Linked DNA regions of Xenopus tropicalis. The protein of the gene in region 1 purifies or fractionates together with the protein of each later gene. This does not show direct contact. Links are inferred from orthologs where the notes say so. Each region holds a gene or a part of one and is shown on either strand. Other genes may lie near its edges.

Evidence for each region.
Region 2: the proteins of ppp2r3c (region 1) and fgfr1op purify together in Homo sapiens (affinity purification with mass spectrometry; 3 studies listed by BioGRID and IntAct, counting the BioPlex papers as one, with this or other methods). This does not show direct contact. The link is inferred for Xenopus tropicalis from reciprocal best matches to the Homo sapiens genes PPP2R3C and CEP43.

The regions. Positions count from the first base shown.
Region 1 is NC_030684.2:109,432,143-109,435,968, reverse strand, and holds part of ppp2r3c (serine/threonine-protein phosphatase 2A regulatory subunit B'' subunit gamma), read left to right. Parts: intron 1-829; coding exon 830-951; intron 952-1,286; coding exon 1,287-1,391; intron 1,392-1,509; coding exon 1,510-1,622; intron 1,623-2,010; coding exon 2,011-2,108; intron 2,109-2,197; coding exon 2,198-2,268; intron 2,269-3,826. UniProt on the Homo sapiens protein: May regulate MCM3AP phosphorylation through phosphatase recruitment. May act as a negative regulator of ABCB1 expression and function through the dephosphorylation of ABCB1 by TFPI2/PPP2R3C complex.
Region 2 is NC_030681.2:56,938,283-56,942,108, reverse strand, and holds part of fgfr1op (FGFR1 oncogene partner), read left to right. Parts: intron 1-1,476; coding exon 1,477-1,538; intron 1,539-2,606; coding exon 2,607-2,668; intron 2,669-2,814; coding exon 2,815-2,898; intron 2,899-3,498; coding exon of another isoform or gene 3,499-3,501; coding exon 3,502-3,716; intron 3,717-3,826. UniProt on the Homo sapiens protein: Required for anchoring microtubules to the centrosomes. Required for ciliation.

The DNA.
Region 1 (3,826 bases):
ATAATACCTACTGAATTACATGCCCAGTTAAATATATTGTAGACCGATATTCTGAGACGATTTGCAATAGTGCTTTATTTTTATTTATTTTTGTATTTGTTTATGTACCTATCTGGTTGCTAGGGTCCAATTTACCGTAGCAACAAGGCAGTGGTTTGAAAAGTGGAAGATGAATAAGAGCAGGCTTGAACAGAAAAATACGTAATAAAAAGTAACAATAACAATAAATTTGTAACCACGTGGAGCATAGTGACCCCTATTTGAAAGTGTGAAAGACAGGAAAGAAGTATCTTCTGAAGATGTATCATCTGAATGTTTTTAAATGTTTTTTTCTTTTCTCTGTAATAATAAAACAGTACCTTTTACATGATCCCAGCTATAAAGGCCCCTTTTCAAAAAAACCCAGGTCCTGAGAATTCTGGAAAACAGGTCCCATACCTGTATTATGTTCTAGTCTAGTGCATGCTAGATGCTTAATTGGAAAATAGTGTAGTTTGCAGTCTAGTTACTAATTTACCCTTTGTCATATTACATTGTAAATGGATTTAAAGAGAACTAGTTGCTTTGCATATGAATGTACCAGAAGGTGTTTCATGGCTTTTGTGTATTATATAGATATAATTAGGTTTGATTATGTTTAGAGCCAGATATACCTGAGATCTGTATAACTGTCGGATTAATATTCTGTTCCTAGATTAAACATTGATTATTGCATTGCTACATCAAATGATAGCTGACATATATCTTTAGGGCTGCATATTAATTGTCATGAAATAAAGAAACATGCCAGCATTTTGGATTAAACAAGGTTTTTTTTCGTATTTTTCAGTCAGAAAAAGTGAGCAGGAAATGAAAGAAGAAGAAATGTCCCTCTTTACAAATTATTATACAGAATGGAAAGGAGGTGGGAAGGTCTCAAGTGCCCAGAATATCCCTCGTTTCTATTATAGGGTAAGCATCATAGTTACAAGGAGTTTGTGATCTTAACAAGTTGAATCATTTGTATGTATATATTGGACCCAATATTAACTCTTTGAATTGTATTTCCCTAATTCTGTATATTCTATACAGGCTTAATTATCAGTCACTGAGCAGAACTGAAGTTCAGAAAGTACCCAAGACATTGGGGGAGGGGTGAAATACAGTAAAGTTCAGTATTGGAATGATTTTGGTTCAAGGCCTACTTGTTTCCATAGATATTTATGAAAGGACAGTGAGGGTGAAATTTCAGGTGACCGTACAATGCATAAAGTACTTCATGTAGATCTGTTTTCTTTCTCACACAGCTCCCTGCAGAAGATGAAGTACTCCAGCAGAAACTAAGGGAAGAATCCCGGGCTGTATTTTTACAAAGGAAAAGCCGTGAGCTCTTAGACAATGAGGAGTTACAGGTAGGACAGACTAATCTTATTGCTTCTGTTCTTCATTATTTGCTTTTGTTTTGAGTCATTATTTTAGCAATACAATATTCTATGCATATATGTTAAAGTTCTCATTTTCCTTCCAAAGAATCTCTGGTTTCTTCTGGACAAGCACCAGTCTCCGCCTTTAATTGGAGAGGAAGCCATGATCAACTACACAAACTTCCAGACTGTTGGCGAAAAAGCTGGAGAAAAATGCAAGTAAGTCTCGGCAGTCATGGCAGGGTATAGATTGCCTTCTTGGTACAATGTAAATAATATGGGGTGATGTTAAATATACATTTGGAAAGGGTCCAGCAGACTTGGCACCCTGGAGCTGCACTCAAATGTCTTGGTAGATTTTAAAGTAGCAAACAGCAAAGGAAAATGCCTGCATAAAGTACTAGAGAGACCTGTGTGATCATATTGTACAAATGCACCCAATCTAATGTGGCATGTCTTGGAGACAGAAAATTGAACCTGCTTGTCTTATTTTACATGATCTCCTCTGGGGGTTAGCACTTTGCTGAAAAGCAGAATAATTAATTATAGTGCAATGCAATATCAGAAAGTAAAATCATCTATTTTTTTCTGTTTTTTCTCATTTCAGGACATTTTTTACCTCTAAAGTGTTTAGCAAGCTTATACCCAACGATCCCTATGGCAGAATATCCATAATGCAGTTTTTCAACTATGTCATGAGGAAAGGTAAGCTAAAGAGCCACTTGCTGTATCATTGTACTGTTGCATTACATTTCGCAGATTACTACAGATAGCATATAACTTCTTTTTTGTAGTGTGGCTGCACCAGACGAGGATAGGTTTAAGCTTGTATGATGTGGCTGGCCAAGGCTACCTTAGAGAGTCTGTAAGTATTTTATTTTAATAGTTTTTTACAACACAATTTATCTTCACTCACAGTTTGAGATTTGTTCCTTGTTCTATGAAATCGCAAAAAGGGTGCCCATGTCTAACAGGTACTGAGATGCCAAGTTTCTATTCTCCTGTGTACACTTTCCCTGTGTGGTTTGCAGTTCTTATATACACTATCATTCTTTGAAATCCTGGCACACAGACACATCTCCATCCTTTTTTTTTTTTCTAGTTTTTTAATTTTTTATGGCATCTATCCTGCCCGTGGGAACTGTAGACTTTTGTGGAAGCTATTACTCTGGCCAAATAGCTGTTTAAATAGCCTCCAAGGAGTCCAGTAGCAATGTCCAGTTTGACCAACTCTCTGCTGCCTGACAATACAAGCAGAGTTAAACTGCCAGTTTGCAAACACTGATTACAAAAGTAAATTGGGTCAGAGCTATGGAGTCATTTAGAGGCAAACTCCTGGACAGGAGCTATGAAGGGGAGCTGGAGTGGTTCCCTTGGGCCCATTATCTGGAGAGCCAGCAGGCAGGAGTTTGTGGCACATCACGCAACATCTAACACAAAACATAACTTATGGTGATACTTTTTTACAGTGTTATCAAAACCAGAATTCCATATCCCCCAACTCTATTTTTTTGGTCCTCCAGGACAATGATTGGATCAGGTTGGAGTCCCTTGCGTACTTGTAATTTCTATGTATAAAAAGTGTTGTAATTTCTACATGGTGAAACTGAAATGTATGCAAATAACTTTAGATTAAAGTCTGAATTGTTTGCTTTAAAATTCGCACTGAGGAGAAAAATGTGTTTTTGTCCCAAACATAATGGAGGGTGTCCAGGTTTCAAAAGTCAGCTTGTTTCCAGCTGCTCCTTTTACAGCACAAGTGCATTTCTCTCTTTTTACATTCTGCATACTGTGTAGTGTCCAATCAGTGGTGGGCCTAGGGTTGGGGGCACCCAAGGCAAATGCCCCCACGGCAAATGCCCCCACCTGCTCTTCTCCTAGGATCACATAAGGTGGCGCGCACTGTCTTTTGTCTGTCTTTCCCCCCCCCCCGCGCATGTCAAATCCTGGTTTACATGCAGAATCAGAACTTCAGACTGGCCGAAAGTAGGGGCCGTTAAGCCAAGATTTACATGCCCAGTGCCCTTGCAGTTGCACCCTAGGCACGTGCCTCTTCTGCCTACCTACTTCTGGCCCTGTGTCCAATGTAGATATACAAGCGGGTTTAATAACTGTGTGCCAGTTCTGTGTTCACAATGGTATCAATAGTGTAAATGAGGGGCGCTACAACTGACTGTGTGCCCTATATATCTTCCATTAAGATTAGGATACTCAGTGCCATGACAGTTATGGGTCAGTTTATGCTTCTGAACATTCTGCCTTAGAATGCGAAAGCACGGGGAGGGTAGCCAGTAATATTACATATATGGACAGTACATATATCACCTTTCATTGTAGCTCAGGCATATTGGGCAGTTAATCTTTGGTTTAACACTTATTGTACAGCGCTGCAGAATATGTTGGCGCTCAATATATAAATGTTA
Region 2 (3,826 bases), on another chromosome or scaffold:
TATTATTGGCAGGTTATGAAATACAATCTAATAACCTGTAGTCAAAGATTTGCATTGGAAATACAAATACAGTTAAAGGCAAACTATACCCCTAAAATAAATACTATTATAAACTATTATATCTAGTGTCCTATTAAAGATAGGCCCAGATTTGTGGCAAAGTCCAGGGGCGGGCCAAGCCGACCAGGCACCCTAGGCAACCTGGTCGGCCACCTCGCCCCTGCACCTCCTCTTCCCCCCCCCCCCCCCCCCATTGCTCGCATAAGGAGCAACAGGGACCGGTTGCGCAGAAAACTTCAGTGCGTCCTCACACCATTTCTCTGTATGTGAGTTAAAAGGACATAGATGCACATGCACGCGGGGTGGGGGGGCCTTAGTTGGCAGTTCCAGTCCAGTGTGTAGTGCTGTCTCTGTCTGAAAGCTCCGAATCGGGCACAATGCACTTAGATGGCTGGCTAGACACCAATATTACAGCTAAAAGAAAAAACATTTGTTGGTTCAAGAATAACATTTTAAATGGTAGAGTGAATTATTTGCAATGTAAACAGTGTATATTAGAAATAAAAAGTATACCGTAAAAATCATAACAGTATCCCTTTAGGTAAGTCTGCACTACCCAGAGAACCTTTCTTAAAATATACAGAGCAAAGATACTCTATTTTTTCCTATTTATTTATTTTATTATGATTTTTATTGATGTTCAAATATAAAGAAAACAGAGTAACAAATAAAGTCAGATAGAATGAACATTGCAGGAGTCTGTGTCATGTAATAAGCATATGATCAATTATACAATGTTATAAGAGGAGGGGTACCTGTCCTCCCCCCTCTTTTCCTTTCTTTTTCTCCTTCCTTTCTTCCCCACTCCTTTTTATCCCTCTTTTCTCTCCCTAACTCTTTTCCTTAATTAATGTACTGACATTAATTATTGATTGTTTATAAAAAAAAATCAGATTTTTTCTTTTAAAGGAAAGCCAGTGAAACCATGTAGTACTGTAAGTGTTATACTGTTCTGGTGAGGAAAGAGAGAACTCTTAAAATTGGTGTATTTTTTCTATACCAATCTTGCAATGTTGGCGTTACGGTTTGTTTCCATCATTGCAGTATTAATATTTTAAACGCATTCAACAAGTGCAGTTCTAGTGACTTTGTGAAAGTAGAAAGCATTTTTTTTCTATATAGAATAGCAGAACATTCATTGGGTATTTCAAAGTTTATGGTATATTGCTTATCTAACATTCTCCCATCAAGGCTGAGTAAGTGGACATGTCCATTTGGAGGGAGTGTAATACCATCTTGTGGCTATCTTTTATAATTTGTTTCTTGACCTCTGCAGCATCTAGAGCTCTTAAGTTTGCTATTTATTTTATAAGTCCCTTGAGTACTCCTGTTTCATGCTTTTGAACTTACATCCAAGGGGTGGCAGATTTATCAATTTTTGAGTTCAAGATAAATTAAACAGAATTTTTTTTACAGAAGCATGTTGGAAAGGTACGTGACTGATGAATTTAAAGCTGCAGATAAGGATTTCAATAATGGTATGTTTATAGGTTGAAAATTAAGAATTGTATGTATTCTAACCTCAATTTTTTTTTGTTATTGATGCAGGGGAATCCTTTAATTTCAGTTCATGCTTCAAGGCCAGTTTTTTGTATATTATTATTATTATATAAGGTTTATTGTGGCAGGAGAGTGTAAGTGGATTTGATAAATACAACATTGCCCTCTATTATCAAGACATAATCTGCAAGCATTTTGAAGTACTTTCAGAAGCAAAGTTAAACAGTCGGAAATCTAATTTTGAATTCTGCTTTACATTTAGACAAATGCGTTAAAAAGCTGTTCTTGACAGCATGTTATATATTTCACCCTTTTAAAGCAGCACTTACACTTAGCACTCACTGTCCCTACAGGATGGATATTAGGGTGTACTAACCAGTCTTGCAGTTTGCAGCCCCTTTTATGTACTATAATAGGTAAAGAGAATAGTCACCAAAAAGTAATGATTTATACAGTGTCGGACTGGGACTCCAGAGGCCCACCAGAAACCCAACTCTCCAAACTATTTTCCCCCCCTTTCCTCACTCAACCTCTTTATTCTCTTAGTCTTTTCTATTAACATGCTATTATCTATTCTTCCTACTGTTTCTGCACTTTGTTCCCATTCAAAAATAGGGAATGACCATGGCCATAGGCCAAATGGTTAGGAGCAGGAGGGCCCACCAGGATACCAGGAAAACACTGGATTTATCAGCTGTCAATATAGTCCAACTGTCCTTCAATATTTGAATGTCCAACTCAGAGCCTTGATAGTAGGTGGTGGAAAGATGTTTTGTACTATAAAAAACCCCACCATCACCACTACCTATTATCCCTAAGTTGGACACACAAGAAGAGAAAAATGATAATTTGCATTTAGGTTTAGCATGGTTGTAGCCTAATCAGCCATATTTTGGTATGCTTCTTTGTATTCAGAGATTTACCTGTTTGCTTCAGGACAATTTTAAACACAACTATTTAGAACTGCTAGGACATGAAGTCTGGAATTAACATTAAAAAATAATATATTTTTGTCCATTCATGATAATTATGTTTTCTGTTTGTAGGTATTAATTTCCACGAATTCATTGGGATGTACAAGCGTTTGTTCATCCATTGTAGAAGTGTTGTAAGTATGTTAAAAGAAAGTTCATTATTGTTTGGTGCAGCATGTACATGTTTTTCAGTCCTAGATGCCACTTATGGAAGACACCAACTCACTCACCATGCTTTTATTTGAAAAACCTTCTAAGTAGATTTATGTTTGTAATGCAGGTAACACATGATGTTCCTGATATTATACATTCCCCACGGAGGTCATTAGAAGGAAAGGCAAATTTACAAGCAAATTATAATCAGGTATGTCAATATTTAAATGCCACTCGCTGTGTGTGTTTTTTTAAATAGGGCAGGTTTCTAACCCTATCATTGGATCTTCTGCTCCCGAAGCAGCACAGAGCCATTTTAGGCAGCAACCCCATAGTTGGGCAGCCAGAATAACTACCCTTTGTGAAAGCAAAGTTGCACCTAAAATGGCGCATAGCCATTTTATCTGTGGACACCCTTATGTCATCAAGCTAGTGCAAGTTAGTTGGGTTGATACCAACTTGGACCCAGTATAGTGCTGTTGCAAAGTTCAGTGTGAGAAGCTTATTTGGTAATCTATACACCCCATCTTAAGTTTGACATTAATACTGACTGGTAGGGATTACAGGTATGAAGTAAGGTTGTTGTAGCCCTTGTGGCCTCCACTTCGTGTTTCTAGGCATGTATAAAAGTCTGTGTAAGAATAGTAAAGGGCCGGGTGTGTTTCATGTCTAAACAATTCTGTACAGTTTACCATCTTAAACTACATGCTACACAAAGTTTGATAAAAACATTCCTGCTTCAATTATTAGCACACTTGCAGTTTTTGTACAGGTCCTACAGTGTATGCTCTCATTGTCTGTTCTAATTCAGCAGACTGATGATCGGATTGAAAAAAATACTCTCTTCTCTAGAGAGTCCAAACAGAAGCTTGAAAACCACATATTAACCTTTGAAGCCAAATCAGATTTCAATCTAAACAAGTTATCCTTTGATAATGAAGAGAGAAAAACAGAATTGGATGAAGATTATCTTGAAGGAGATTCTTTCTTTGATGATCCTATTCCAAAACCAGAGAAAACATATGGATGGTGAGAAATAGATTCTGTTGCGTTTTCAATAGATGCATTTATTTATTTATCAACACAGCAGTTCACTTTGTAACTGTTTTCTAGAGTTATCCTATAGAGAAGGCAGTTTT